2 linked regions of the Tamandua tetradactyla genome follow. The protein of the gene in region 1 purifies or fractionates together with the protein of each later gene. This does not show direct contact. Links are inferred from orthologs where the notes say so. Each region holds a gene or a part of one and is shown on either strand. Other genes may lie near its edges.

What was found.
Region 2: the proteins of NCOA4 (region 1) and FTH1 purify together in Homo sapiens (co-immunoprecipitation; 6 studies listed by BioGRID and IntAct, counting the BioPlex papers as one, with this or other methods). This does not show direct contact. The link is inferred for Tamandua tetradactyla from reciprocal best matches to the Homo sapiens genes NCOA4 and FTH1.

Annotation. Positions count from the first base shown.
Region 1 is NC_135339.1:5,604,785-5,613,175, reverse strand, and holds the start of NCOA4 (nuclear receptor coactivator 4), read right to left. Parts: upstream 3,439-8,391; 5' UTR 3,427-3,438; coding exon 3,359-3,426; intron 2,894-3,358; coding exon 2,856-2,893; intron 502-2,855; exon of another isoform or gene 465-501; coding exon of another isoform or gene 455-464; intron 1-454. UniProt on the Homo sapiens protein: Cargo receptor for the autophagic turnover of the iron-binding ferritin complex, playing a central role in iron homeostasis. Acts as an adapter for delivery of ferritin to lysosomes and autophagic degradation of ferritin, a process named ferritinophagy.
Region 2 is NC_135335.1:12,987,260-12,994,690, forward strand, and holds FTH1 (ferritin heavy chain), read left to right. Parts: upstream 1-3,955; 5' UTR 3,956-4,146; coding exon 4,147-4,260; intron 4,261-5,705; coding exon 5,706-5,852; intron 5,853-6,166; coding exon 6,167-6,292; intron 6,293-6,389; coding exon 6,390-6,554; 3' UTR 6,555-6,715; downstream 6,716-7,431. UniProt on the Homo sapiens protein: Stores iron in a soluble, non-toxic, readily available form. Important for iron homeostasis. Has ferroxidase activity. Iron is taken up in the ferrous form and deposited as ferric hydroxides after oxidation. Also plays a role in delivery of iron to cells.

The sequences.
Region 1 (8,391 bases):
AAGGGGGGCAAAAAGAATTAACTGGAGATATTTTGGGGCAATACAAGAGAGAACTTTCTAATAATCCTAAAGGAAATCACCAGAGAAGCCTGAATAGGGGCTTACCCAGTGTGTGTCTGCCTGTTTGAGACAAAGCGCAACTTTGTCTGGCCTTGACTACACCCTCCAACCTCAATGTAGGGGCCAGGGGGGCTAGCGGAGAGCTGGATGGGGACAAAAGCAGTGTGAGCCCCACCCTCAAAAATAAAACAGTGGAAAGGAGAAGCCCAAAATACGTACTTTTTTTTTTTTTTAATCTTTCTGGTTTTTATTGATGAGGGCATGTTTTGTTATTTTTGTTATCTGTCATCTTTTTTATTCTGTAAACATTATTTCATTGTTAAATATAACATATATACAAAGAAAAGAAAGAAAAAGCAATGATTTCCAAAGTACACTTCAACAACAAGCTTACTTTTGATCATCGCAGCAAAAGATTCACATCCAGGAACTATGGCATTCCTGTAGGAAAGAAAACTTTCTAACTTCCCTTAAAATTTTATTATCTCAGTGTTTCCCCAAAATGATTTGCAGTGTCAAAGATCTCAGAGCTCTGGATGATTCAGGAGACAAATTCAAATGCATACACTGCTGACTGTATTACTAGGTGCCTAAATCAAGAATTCTCAGTGAAATCCCAAGTACTATACAACTCTGAATAAGAGTAAAATATGGCAAGAACACACCACTGGATTTTCCTCTTACCACCTATGGGCAGACTACAGGACAAGATTAAAGTTGCAAAACTGATTCCCCACTGCTACACACACACACACATATTTCTATCACGCTTCAAGCTCAAATGAGCATCATCCCTCAAAACAGGCATCTTGCTGGAACACCTCTTATATGTAAGGGTCTATAGAGTCCATCTGTCAGCCACTAGGAAAACCTGTCTCATTTCTTTATAGTCAGTCCCAGAAAATTTGCCCTTCTGCTGCCTTGGCTTTGTCCCTCCTCCTTCCTGTGGGACAATCTAGGGGCTTCGGCTTCAACAACCCAGCCCCCAAGAAGGAAACTTTAGTGCTTGCCAGTTCATATTATGGCGAAAAGGAAGCCTTTCAAAGCTGAAATCAAGAACCACACTACAAGGATGAACTAAAATCCTGAGTTGAATCATGAGCCCACTTTATGAAATGGCATATGCAGTAAGAGTTGGTCATTTGCAGCAATTTGCCATTCGTTAGAGAGCCAGTGTAGTGCAGCAAGTGTGAAGGTTAGGAGATCACTCTGAGGTGTGACAGGATGTTCCAGGATGCATCTGCAAGCCTGAGACCCATGAGCTATACTTATTTAACCTCTCCAAGCCTTGATTTCCCCTCTGGAACAATGAAGAGAAAGGGCTGCACTGTAGTTAAAGTTAAACATTACCTATAAGCCCTCACCCCAGCCGCTGCACACTATAAGCTCCCCATTACTCTCGTTGTTATTATTATTATTAGGTGTAGCTGAGTGAGGGGCACCTCAGGAACCTTCACCTTTAGAGTTCAGAAATCAGCACCGAAACTGGAATAGGCTTTGAGGTGAGAAGGCCCTAACTAAGACTCCTTTAGCCATTTATCAGTGCCATGACTCTGGACCACTTGCCCTTCTTGAACTTAACTTTCTAATTCATAAGTAAGGAAAACAATATCTGTTTCATAGGCTTGTGGGTACAGAGCTAGTACTTGCTTAATAAACAGCCCTGTCTGGTCTTTCACTATACGATGTGGCAAAAAGCAAACCGTTTTTACAACAAAAACTCATAAATTTACACCTTACAATACATTCAAAGTACGCAGTTTTGCCTGTAGAAAGATTGGACCAAATCAGTCCTAATTTCAAAATTAATATTTACTATTATTGTCCAAATTCCTGTCCTACCATCTTCAAATGAGGATCACTTTAAATTTTTATTTTTGAGACAAAGTTAAAAGTTTAAGCGCTTTCTAAATCTTCCCTGGCACTAAGATCCCAGGGTTTTGGAGGGGAGGAGAGAGGGCAGGGCACAGCAGAAGCAGCTAGAGACACACACAACCCTCAAATAACAGAACCTGGAACCTTCCTCAAAAAAAATTGTACGAACTGTACAAGCCATACTTGCACAAATCTTGTTATGAAATCCTAAGATCATGAACAACTAACCACAAATGAACCTAAGTCATTATCATATGGCTTAACCATAAAATTTCCAAAGAGCTATAAAACTCTCTTGTGACACATAAACCACAATTTAAAGTTGGAAAACACCTTGGAAATCTGCTTAGTACACCACCCTAACTTTACAGATGAAGACACAAAGGCTAGGATAGGTTAAATGACCCATCTAAAGTCTCACCATCAAATCTACCATCTAAAAGGGTATCTGGATTTTGAACTAAGGTTCCTGAGGTCTAGTCCTGGATTCTCTCCCTACCACACCTATTCTTTTCTTGGTGTATTATCACCCATGAGTTCATTTTATTTGCCAATAAGTTTCAAGGTATCATTTCAATGGTCTACTACCTAAAAAACTTCCATTAAGATTAGCTCACCTTAGACTAGATCACTTTAACTGCGCCTTCCAGTTCTCACATTCTTTATCTACCTTCCCACCCTCCCTCCTTCCCCCCAAAATAATCGATGCCCACTTTTCATCTATTTTCCTGACTCTGCTGCTAGAAGGCCAAGCCCTCAAGAAACTATGTACAGAATACATTTGTCCTATGCATTAGTAAATTCCAAATACTTAACGACCAATTACATTACCTTGGATAAGGCAACCTACATAAGATTTTGTACAAACTTTCATTAAAACAATCATAAAACAGTAATTGATAGTATGCGTTTAATTTTACCTTGGGACATTTCTTCTTTACGCCAAGAGTTTCTTCTTCTTGTCGGTTAAAAAAAAAAGATCGTTTTTTATATCAAAATTCATTAATTTTGATTAAATTCAAATTCATTAAACCATGTTACACATGGTTACCCTAGCCCACTTTCAAATTCTTTATCAAGACAAGTAGTTTCTGAAATTCAGAAACTAGTTCTGCATAACTGTTTTTAAAACCACTCAAACAAACGTTAATGTCTAAAGCTAATTAAAATAAGGTAATAATTTGAATTCGCTAGAGCATATTTTAAGGTTTTTAATACTTCAGAGCATAATGAGCTCGGATTTATCTTTTATACGTGTAACTGACTTATGGGAGCAAGTAATCCCAGTATATCAACTTTTCGAACCAGTAAACTGAAAACTGACTACAAAATTTTAGCATGGAGTGACAAGTAAAGCTCTTCTATTTCAAAAGCAACAGTGATTCATGCAGCTTTCTAGGTTTCCACATTAACTTCCACGCACTTTCCGCAGCCTCCAACCCAACCGCCCTTCACTTGCGGCTGAAGGCCGGGGCGCCGCGCAGCACGCATGCGCGCAGCCCGGGCCTCTGCTCCTGCGCGCGCCGACCCAGGAAGACTAGCTGGCCGCGACGCACCCGCGGGACTGCCGCGACGAACCTCGCAGGCCGGTCTCCGCCGCGCGAACAGGCCAGCGAGCAGGTGGCCCTTTTATCCCCGGCCTCGGCACTGAAGCTGCCCAGAGCCAACCGGCCGCGCCCCGCCTCGCCCCGCCGTCAAGCGCCCGCCCCCAGCGCCAGGGCTTCCGAAGGCATCCACGCCCTCCCTGCAGCCGGGCCAGCGTGGCAGAGAACCATCTCGCGTCTCCCCTTCAGACCCTTGGCTTCCTTTATTCCTTCCCCGTCCAAATCTTCAAGACTTCTCTGTTTTAAGGTTTTGAGGCTAGTCACTACAAAGAAATAACAAACGTGGAGGTGCTGGGCAGTTGAGTATTACTGAAATGTTCCTTCCTAACTCCCTACCTCCGTCAGCCCAGCAGAGGTTCAGCCCCCGGCCTGTTTCTGCCTCCCTGGCGTCCCCTCACATTTGTGACACGCCTCTGTCTCTGCCACATTCATATTCTCTTCTTCTCCCTCTGTCCAAAACTTCTGTTCTACAATAAACAGTGCCTGAGCCAGACAATCTACTCTCGGGGCTGGGAATACGGTAGTGAACCTGGGAGTTCCTACCAGCAAAGGCAGTAGATAGCGGCTAAGAGGATGGACTCTGCAGCCAGACAGTGTGGGTACAATACCTGGCTCTGCCACTGATGCGAGGTATAACCTTCCATCAGTCAGTTAACCACCCCGTGCCTCAGTTTCCCTATCTGTAAAATGGGGACAATAATGAACCCAACGTAACACTACCTGCTTCTGGTACTTCTAGACCAATATCCTTTTTTCCGAAGACAATCCTTTTTTATATCCTGAATCAGGGCAAAAGAGGAAATCTGGACAGCACTGTCATTCCCAGTCTATAGTCTTTTGAATGTAAAGGCTTGCTCTTGTCTATGCATGGAGCTTTTTTGGGGGGGGGGGGAAGGTAAAGAGTAAAGCAAAACCATGTGACAAAAGCAAAGGGGACCACACACATAGCCTCAATGAAGGAGGCCTTCGATTTCAAGAGAACAGTATTTGGGGGCACTCCTGCACACAGTTTCGGAGATCCCATTTCAGACATCCATTACCAAAAATATTGAGAAAACAATTTTTCCCTAATTCAAATTACCCTCATTGGATGAATATACAAAGAAAATTCAGCATCTTTCTGAATGATGAACGTTAAAAAATTCACAGTCCTCTGCACTTTGTCAATGGCTACAGAGAAGGAATTCTTCATCTGTTCAGTCAAGAACTTCTCATCTCTTTTATGTGCCCCTGTGAAGTGGTCACAATATAAATACAGGAGACACTTTACTGGCCATCACTATTTAACCAGCGGCCTCTACTCCCTCTAAAGGATTCTGACCAAGGCTCCCTCACACTGGAGGCTCCTGCTACTCCTCCACCGATGTGCCCACTGAGTTACAAAATTATCAAGTTCCGACGTGTTTGTTCTCTGGCCAGTTTATGCCAACTTCGTTACTACAAAGAAGTGATTTCATTAAATATTGCATAACATAATAAAAAACTGGAGAGAGAAATCTAGAAGAATTCTACACTCAGGCCATTTTGCAGGGTTTTTTTCACTCCATTAAGCATATTTCCCTTGTGTCTTTAAAAAATGTTTAGGTCCTGAAGGGGAAATATTGACAAAGCATTTTTTCTCCCTTCTGCCTCAAGATTTTCTATGCTATCTCAAAACAACAGAACCATCCATTCCTAGTAGATCTTTTAAAGAGAGCATGAACTTTAACATCTCCAGAGACTCCCCCACTGCCTGTGGGAGAAAGGCCAAATCACCCTGACTCTCCTGCGGTCTCCTCAGTGCAGATGCCACACCCTGACCTGCTGGACACTGTTCCACGCCTAGTCCAGGCTTACTCTCCCAGCTCTTTCTGCCAGCAGTGCCAGTCCCCCCACTTCTTCACACTGGTACATTTGTAGACTCTGTTCAAGTGAACAGAGCCCTTCCTGACCAAACATGGCACTCTTCAACAGAGATGGCCACTGCCTCCTGTGCCCACTGTAACTTGAACAGGCTTTCCACATGACACAGGTAACATGTGTTGCCCTTATGCTACATGCCTGTGTTCTGAGATTGGGAACTCCCTGAGAGAAGATATAGTGACTTATTTGCCTTTGTAGACCGTAATGCTGAAGGGACAGCCTGGTATCACTACCGTGGCATTATGCAATCCCACTCACATTCTATGCACCTCAATGAATGACATCAAGAGAATGGTGTCCCTGGAGTTGTACAATACTGCTTGAGAATAAGTTTCCTAAACATTTTCAGACCATCCAATAGCGGGGCTTGATTCTGCTTAAACATAACCAACTTGATGTCTCGCTAAGGCCTGCATTAACTCTGGAAGGGTTTTCAGAGGAGATAAAGCTTTCTAGCCTTAAAACACAGCTATTACTTTTAGTTTTCTTTCAGGCAAGACAAAGCTGACAAGTACATTGCCCATGGGGTCATGATCTTAGGCTAAGCCCTAGGATAAAATGTCCTCCCTGATACCAGGCCTGAAGCTTAACCTCACAGATGAACAAGCACCAGGAGGTTTGTGAGTTAAAGAGAAAATTATTTCTTATTTAACTTTGTATTTTTTTCTCAGACTTTGCAGTATCACAGAAATTCCACCTAATGTCAACAGGAGTTTAGTAGGCTTTCAGAACTGGGGCTTTGCCCTATCTTCAACTTTAAATGTGTGACCATAACTTAAGCAAGGGTAGGAAAACATGTTACTTATCTACCATCAGAACACCACCACCATTTTATCCCTGCTTTTACAGAGTAAACATCTCGTGTTACTCTCCTCTTCTAAAGCTTGAGGTGCTAGCAATAATGTCAAAATAGACCCCAAAATATACACATGCTTATGTTCTCATGAAATCTGCAATTGTCTAAGAACTATGACTAAACTGACAAGTCAAACAAGCACAAAGCTTTTAACCTAATAGGGTGCGGAGGGCAATGCTGGGAAAAAGAGACCTCCTAAGTACCCTGGAGTTGCAAGCACGGTGGGGGTGCAAGGGTAGTTCACTGGTAGAATTCTTGCCTGCCATGCAGGAGACCAGGGTTCAATTCCCAGCCTGTGTACTACCCCCACCCTCCAAAAAAGCAAGATAGTCACATGGAAAAAGAACGAAATGTGACCCCCCGACCATAAAGCATCCAAAACAAAAAGTGCCCAAACACAATTCTAGTTCCACCAGCAGGACACCTTGACTCCACCGCATAATGAAGCCAAGCCAAATCAGGGAGGACAACTTGGGATAAGAATGAATCATTCACGTCAGGAGTAAAAGGAGCACCCATGAAACAACTTTTCATTCACTTGCCAGTGGGCCTAATTCAGAAAATACCTGTGATGTGTACGGATATGAGGTATTGCAGGGTTGCAGGTAAGCTTATAAATCATGACCGTGATGTTATGATTTAACAATCAAAGATGACATGCTCTAACTGACAAGCAAAGACACAAAAAGCTCTTTAGAGAGCAAAAGCGGTCACCCAGCCCCTCACTCCAACCCAGGTGACCACACTGTTCACTTGAGTTCCATGTTTTTCACTTGAGTTACATATTGAAGCAATGTATGTACATCTATCTATGATAAAACAAAGCCCAAATGAAAACCTGCGACAAACATTTTAAGAGGGCTAAAACATAGCAAGAAGAGCACTAAAAATGCCATAGACACTGACAGCTCTCTCAGAAAACTGAACTTCACTGCAGGATGCACATTGGCTGGTACTGATTACAGTCATCTCAGATTTGCCTTTCACGAGCTAACCTATAAGTATCCAGAGGCGGTTCGATAATGCTGCAGAAGTCCGATCCCAACGGGGGCATATTCATTCAGCTGTACGTCTTGAATAATGTCATGCCTTCCTTCCAAATTTTTTTTTAAATTGCCAAAGATTAATGTATGCAATGCACTTTGACTAATGCTTGGCACATAGTGAGAGCTACATTGCCATTTTTATGACATTTTGTCAGAGAAAAAGCATAATAATAAGGAAAGAAGACCTTTGATTTTGTAGTTTGTCCATTTCGTAAGCCCCCACCTTCTCCAGCCCAGATTCCTGCAGAAACCTCAGGACAGCCAACCACCCCTACCCTCCTCTCTTTGCTCACTCAGTCTAGCCTCATTGCTGCTCCTCCAGCAGGCCAAGGATGCTCTGCCCTCATAACCCTTGCATGTTCTTCCAGATATCCTCATGGCTCTCCTTCCTTCAGGTGTCTGCTCAATGGTCATGTGCTCAGTGAGGTCTTTCCTGACCATCCTCTTTAAAATAATTCTTCCCTCCACCCCCTTAATGTGCTTTAGTTTTCTGCATCCTACTTATCACGATCGGACATACAGAAACTTTATTTTCTGACTCCCCTTCAGAAAATACACTGGAAGGTAAGTTCTACAGGGACAGACACCTCATCTTTGTGTTCACTATCATATAGTGGGTTTTCAATATATATTTGTTGAACAAACGAATTCAGTAAGTATTGACTTCCATATAACTATGGCCCAGGACTTTCTTTTACACAGTATCTCATGTGCTCCTCACAAACCTTTAAGGACACCATTTTTAAAATAGAGAAAATGAAGCTTAGCAAGGTTAAATATATTACATGCAGCCATAAGCTTCCAAGTGGAGGAGCCAAGTTTAGTCCCAGTTGTGAGTCTAAAGTCCACAGCCACAGACTGCATATTAAAGGAATCACTTGGATATTAAGATTTTATGTATTCATTCAACAAATACGTAGTAAGTATCTACATGTCACTTGTTGTGAGAGTCCCTAAAGATACACCGGTAGCTAGAGTAGGACTGCCACCTAGAGGAGGATTTGTGTCACTGAGTCACATAAAACTAAACAGAAAATCCCAAATCTTT
Region 2 (7,431 bases), on another chromosome or scaffold:
TCCCACAAATTCTCAACCCGAAATCAGATCCTTTTCCTCGCTGGCCCAGCCTCCAGTGTACCCCATTAGGAAATGGGGGTGCTTTTCCTCCTCCCCACCTTAGAGAAGTCACAGCCCTCCAGGCCTCCACCTTCCTCCTTAGTGACAAAGCACTTTTGGAGCCCAAGTCAAATCCCTCAGGACCAGCAGAGTGCTGAGTCATGGTGGGGCAGCAAATTTCCACCACATCCCCCACCACTGGCCTCCTCCAGCTCTAGGACGGGCCAGCTTTCTCCCGATTCAACCCGCCAGGCCCTTTTCCCCTCCCCTACAGCCCCTCCCGCGGCTCCTGGCCCCGGGAGGCAGCTGCCTTGGAGACCAGCCAAACTCCAGCCTCCTAGAAGTCACGCGAAGCAGAGGGGCGGGTGTGTGTGCTCCTGGTCAACAAAGGTCCAAAGACCAGGCTGCAGCTTTGGAAGAATCTAGAGACTTAGAGATGGCAGTTCTGACACCCCTCCCCCCAGTTGGCCCTCCAGGTGGCAAAGCGGCACAAGTGCATGCATGCACGCACGCGCGTACACACACACTCACACAAGATTTCCCTTCCATTCTTCCCAGCCTAGCCAGCCCCCAAGCCACGTTCTACAGTACAAACCGTCCCTCCGTTTTGCTCTGAGGTTCACTGTAGCTGCCTGTGTGTTTAACCAAGCATGGAGCCAATAATGATTCATAAATTCTGCTTTCTAAAATAGGCGCATTTCTCTCCAACTTCATGCTAGCGCTTTCCCTCTGGAAAGCCCCCTGGGGGCTATTCAAACTCAGCACCTCCAGTCCAAAACAAAGCTGGCCATCTCCCATTTCTTCCCGTGCTCCCTGTTTCAGAGAAAGGAACCAGGAAGCCAGCTGTCCGGGCCAGAAACCTAGGGAGCTGTCTGCCCACCCCCATATTAACCCATCAGCCACTTCATCCTGTCCATTGTTTCTTCCCCATGTCTCTCAATCTGTTTTCTGTCCCCTCTGCACACTGAGGGTTAGGGTTGCTGTCTCCCAACTGGTATCTAGCTCTCTCGCCTAACTTTGATCCATCTTCCACGCTCAATCACTCATCCATCCATTCATTCAACAAATACTGAGCATGACTAACAAAGCACCTTGCAAAAGTCCTGGCAGTGCAGCGATGAAGAAGTTAGAAACAGTGTCTGCCCTCAGGGAGCAGGGGAGACCATCAGAGTGGTTACCAAAAGGTGGGATTTATATGTATATGATATATAATTACATTATATATATATATTACATTATGTAACTACATATATATATATTTTGCTTATTGACAGTCATGACTTATACAAGCTACAAATACTGTCAACCCACCTTGTTATTTGTCTATTTAACTTTGCAAGTGGCATCTTTAATTTTACTGGGGTTTTTTTTTTTTTTTTGCATGGGCAGGCATGGGCACTCGAACTCAGGTCTCCAGCATAACAGGCAAGAACTCAGCCTGTTGAGCCACCGTGGCCTGCCCAGTGTTTCATTTTTAAGGAGTCAATCTGCTAAGTTTCCTTTTAAGAAGGCCTCAGAAGAGCACTCCCTACCCCAAAACTATAAAAGATAATCTTCCATATATTTTTCTCACCACCTAAAGGTGGTATAAATGTATAAATAGGTTTTTCTTTAACGTTTGTAATTTTAGTCCATCTGGACCATATTTTTTTTCTTTTGAACCATATTTTTTAGTAGAATGAGTCACTGTTTTCCAGATGACTACCAATTGTTTCAAAATCATTTCCTGAAATCATTCTTTCTCCTCTAATTTGAAATGCCACTTTATCATGTACCATGTTCCCATAAATATGTGGGTGGGACTGTTTTGTTGTGCTGACCTAATCACTGTTTCAATTAAACACTGCTTATAGCACTTTTAGTACTTTTTTGTTATCAGGGAGGGCAAATCTACCTTTAAAGCTTTCTATCCCCAAGTGTTTGTCAGCTATTCTACACATTTTTTACAAATAAACTTTAGAATCAAGTCCCAAGAAGTTTTATGGAAATTGCTTTGAATTTATACGTTTATTTGGGGAAAACCGACATCTTTAAAAAATGAAACCTTTCCATTTGGAAACATGGTGTCTCCATTGCAGCAAGTTGTCTTTTCCTTTCTAGCAGTAATTGTTGACAGTTTTTTTTTCATACAGTCCCTGTTCACTTTATGACAAGGTATTTTAAGCTTTTGTTGTCAATGTAAATGAATTTCTTTTTCCTTTCATCACATTTTCTAAATGGTGGTTCCTGTTATGTAGGAAAGCTTTGCATCCGGTGACTTAACTGGAGTCTTATTCTAATAAATTATCTGTTGATCCATTGTAAGATCTCTAAAAACAAACTACTGCTGTGTCTCCCTGGTTAGAAATCCCTTAGAATCTCCATGTTGAATCCAGGATAAAGTTTAACCCCTTTTTATGGCACACAACTGTCCAGACCTTGCCCTAGATTCCCCTTGCATCATTCTCCAACATGATCTTTACTCTCCAGGCTGACACCCTTTCTGAAGGTTCCCTGGACAGACCATGCATTGCCACACCTTCATACATTCACATATGCTGTTCCCCCTGCTTGGAATTCTCTGGCCCACTTCACCTTCCTTTTAATTAACTTCTCCAAACTCGCGTATCACTTTCGTAGCGGAAGCCTGCATGACCTATCCCTGTTCGGGTAAGGCACCCCTCTTCTGTATTTCACAGCCAGCTTCTGCTTACTTTTTCGTAACTCTGACCCTACTAGAAATTCTTCCTGAGACTAGTTTACGTTCATTTTGAAATGAATAAAGCGCCAAGAGGGAGAAACTGCCATACTTCCATCAGCAAACTTCTTTTAATATTTTAATGGTGTTCCTTGAAAAAACAAAACAAAACAAAAAACAACGCTTTGGAAGCCCAGCTTCCAGTTTTATGTGTGTGAGCATTAAAAGGGTTTTTTAATGGGTCTCCACACACATCGAAGGGGCTGGCCGAGAACAGAGAACCCCCAAACCAGGAGGCTAGGAGGGCAGGAGGCGGGAGTCACGAAGTCGTGCCCACACTGCTTCACAGCTGCGAGCCCCCCACGAGCCCCTCCAGGGTCCCTGGCGCCCGTCCCCCCACCACTCAGGGTCATCAGCTTCTCTTCAAGGACAACCCCAGGGGAGCGGCCCCTCGCGGGGTCTCCTCGACCCCAGGCTCCCGCGAATGGGGCGCCTACGAGGCCGATCCGAGCCGCCTAAGTCTCTTCTCCTTTCTTTTTAAACTCCCGAGTTCTGTGTTTTGAGTTTTAAGCCACCCGCGAATTTCTCACGTCAGGCGGCTCAGCTCCGGGCCTCAGACTCCAGGGCACCAGGACAACGCCCGTCGCGGCCTTTGTTCTCACACTGCACGAGGAGCCATGTTTGCTCTCGGCGACGGGCGGGCGCGAATCCGAACGCCCGCGGCGGGCCCCGCGCCTCCATTCTGCTCCGTAGGGAAGGGAAAGTGCGCCTTTTCCCAACCCAGCCTCTGACGCCCTCGGCCAACGAGGACCCGCTTCTAACCACCGTCCATTTTCCCCTGGGAATCCGGGCAAGCGCCTCGAGGCGCGTGGCAACCGCTTCTCTGAGGCCCGGATTTTGTTCACAGCGTGTCCTTGGCCAAGAGCCTCGGGGTGCCCGTTTGGTACCTCAGCATCCCCCCCAACCCCCCGTCCCGACCACTTGCGAGCCCGGGGCCGATTCCCACCAGTTCCGCGGCCCCGTGGGCCTCCGAGCTCGGGGCTTTGTGGTAGACTCGGCGCCCCTCCCCAGGCCTTCCCTCAAGCCCACTAAGCGCGCGGTGGAGGGGGGGGGGGGGGGAGGCGCCCCTCCCCCAAGCCAGATGGGAGGGGCTCGCGCGCCCACCGGAAGGGGCGGGCCTCAGAGGGGCGAGCGGGCGGTTCTGATTGGCCGGGGCGGGCTTGACGCCGACTACCCGATATAAGACGCGGGCTGAGCAGCCGTCCGCCGCAGACGTCTTCGCGGAGAGTCGCCGTGGTTTCCTGCTTCAACAGTGCTTGAACGGAACCCGGCGCTCGCCTCCTCCCCGTCGGCCGGCCACTCCGAGCAGCTTTCAGCCACCTCTCCAGCGCCGCGCAGCCGCCGCCTCCTCCTCTCCTCAACCGCCCACCATGACGACCACGTCCCCGTCGCAGGTGCGCCAGAACTACAACCAGGACTCAGAGGCCGCCATTAACCGCCAGATCAACCTGGAGCTCTACGCCTCTTACGTCTACCTGTCGATGGTGAGGCCTGGCGAGCGGGCTCGCGGCTGGGTTGGGGGCCGGGCGCGGTCTCCCTGGGGCCCCGCGGGTTGCTGGGCGGGGCGGGGGTGTGGCCACCGCCTCCGCGCGCCCTTGGGAAAATGGAAGCTGCTCCCAGTCTACCCCGGACATGCATTGCGCAGCAATTCTGATTGTGGGCAATTTCGTGCCTTCCGGGTGTCCCAGGGAGCGCTCCCTCCTGGGCTAGAGCCTCCACTGCGCACCTCTCTTTAGGGAGGGGGAGAGTCAAGTGTTCTGAAAATCCCGGGTTTGCAAGACTTGCAGACTGTACATTCAAGCCTGCGGTTAGGAAGGTGATTTTTTTTTGTTGTTGTTCTTCTGCCCTTTTCTCCGCCTGCAGCCGTGTGTGTGGGCCCTCCATTTCTCTGGGTAATGGGGGCGAAGAGCTCAGCTCCCATCCCCCAGGGTATGGCGTCGAGTGGCAACCTTGGGGGCTGGGTGGGAAGTGGTTTATCTCCCGTGGGCGGGCCCCCCCCCCGAGCAGCCATCTCCAGCCCTTTGCTGTGCTTATCTGTAAGTCCCACTTGAATTTAAGCGTATCTCTAGGAATCGCCTGCCTTCGCCGAGTTACTTAACCCGCCCTTGCGGCTCAAGACTTAGTTCTTTTTCCTTTTGCTGCTTGGTTGGAGGGTTATGGAGGCGCATTAATTGAACTGTTAATTCTTGATAAGAGGCCATCAACAGTTAACTAGGAAAGAAATGTTTCCATGCAATAAATCGTCACGTTTTTACTCGTTTTACCAAGTCTTGGTTTTAGGCCCTGTGGTGGGAGTATTGAGCAGAACTGCCTTACATAATTTCAAGTTATCCAAGAACAGACACGTACCAAATGGGATTGGAAACGGGCCTGGATTTCTGTGTGCCATTCAGTTTAAGGAACACTTGAATACAGCAAGGGTCTAAAACTGAAAAATCAAAATGTTGTTTTCTACGGTAATACATTAACATCAGCATTTGCCCACAAGCATCATCTTCCCTGGCCGGTTAATTTTGAAAATCCAGGAATCTACTGTACAGCTGACAAGTTTATGAACTCTTTAGAACACATGCTTTAATGTGGGGTAATTGGGAAGGGAGGGCAAGGAAGGTACTGGCAGTAAGAAATTCTCTTCTGCACCAATAGTCTTTAGGATCCGTTGTGTTGAAGGTAAATTCCTATGATATTCTAAAGGTTCCCCAAAGAAGCAAGCTAAATCAATTTCAGTTTTGTATTTTAGAGTAACAACTCATCACCCTTAGGTGTAGAATTCAGGAGCACACTTGACCGGCATCTCTTTAGGGACTGTCCCCTCTTGATGTGCTTTGAAAGGGAAGCGGTGGCTACCAGACTCATTGCTACTTAATAGCCTGTTAAAGCTACTCCTTTGATAATCCCTAGCCTAATATATACATCTTAATACTTTCAGTCTTACTACTTTGACCGTGATGATGTGGCTTTGAAGAACTTTTCCAAATATTTTCTTCACCAATCTCATGAGGAGAGGGAACATGCTGAGAAACTTATGAAGCTGCAGAACCAACGAGGTGGCCGCATCTTCCTTCAGGATATCAAGGTGAACAAATGATTCTAGAGGCATCATGTGGGCCTCCTAATTAGCTAGCAGTGTTCAGGTGTCAAATCACTTGAAGATTTCCCTTTTAAAATGAGGTTACATTTAATTTTGTCTTTTTGGTGCCTTATTTCTGCCATCTAAACTAAAGTAGGCAAACAGTTATGGGCAAGGATGTTAAATTGAAAACTGGTGTCAGGGAAGCTTGAATGACCCTTTTGGAGAAGTTTGGTCGTTTAGAGCTAGGTGCCTGCTCTGTTGTTGATGGGCTAATCACTGGATGTGGCAGATGTTTGACCTAACCACATCTCATTCAGAAACCAGAACGAGACGACTGGGAGAGCGGGCTGAATGCAATGGAGTGTGCATTACATTTGGAAAAAAGGGTGAATCAGTCACTACTGGAATTGCACAAACTGGCCACTGACAAAAATGACCCCCATGTGAGTGTTGGAAACTGGGGACTAAAGGGGGGAAGAAATAATTTGCCTTAGGGGCTGGAAAGGCTTACCAATAACTTTGTTTCCCATTTTTTTCTAGTTGTGTGACTTCATTGAGACACATTACCTGAATGAGCAGGTGAAATCCATCAAAGAGTTGGGTGACTACGTGACCAACTTGCACAAGATGGGGGCCCCGGATTCTGGCTTGGCAGAGTATCTCTTTGACAAGCACACCCTGGGAAATAGTGATGATGAGAGTTAAGCCTTACGCTGTCTTCCCCAGAGTCACGGGGTGACTTCTGTGGTCACCAGGGCCGTGCATGCATGTTGGGTTTACCTTTGCCTTTTCTATTAAGTTGTATCAACACCCACCAAGTTGTTTCATTTGTACCATTCCTTCAAATAAAGTAATTTGGTACCCAACTGTTGTCTTGGAGATCTTTGAGTTGGCTGGAAATCTGTCTAGGCCATCTTGGCAGTTAAGCACCACAGTTTAGTTTCAGTCATAATAAAATGAAATTCCTCTGAGGATTTATATTTATTAAATTCCTTAGTTTGGGAAAGGTAACAGGTGTAGGTGTTTTGAATTTAAACAAGACACTAAGTACTCCTGAATTTCTGAATTAGGTTTTTGGAATTACTTGTTTTCAGTGGTTCATTCTAATTCACAATTTACGTTTAGAAAGCATAGGACGCTTAAGTAGTTCTGGAACTACTGACTTTGTTTTCTTTTGTTACCCATTAAGCTAACCATATAGTGCTGTAGTAGGGACATTCTTCAGTGCGAACAGCTAAATGGCTTAACCAGATGAATTCTTTCTGGTGTGCACACAAGTAAGGACCATATAGGTCACTATCTCCTTTGGGAGACAGGTTAGGGATGTGTTTCACTTCTGTTGGAGAAATTGAAAAAGACAATTGTAAGTGGCATGTACCTTAATTTCAATACCAAAATGCTGCAGAAGCAAGTTTGAGACCTTTTAAATATTAAGAACTTAGTAAACGGTAAATTGCAGAGCAAATGACTTAGCTGTTAATAGTTACATTACCATCCTTTGCTGAACGTACCGTCGGTGACTTGTACTAGTTGCCCTACTTATTCTAGAAGCAAGATCAGATGGTTGTGCTTTAAATTTTCA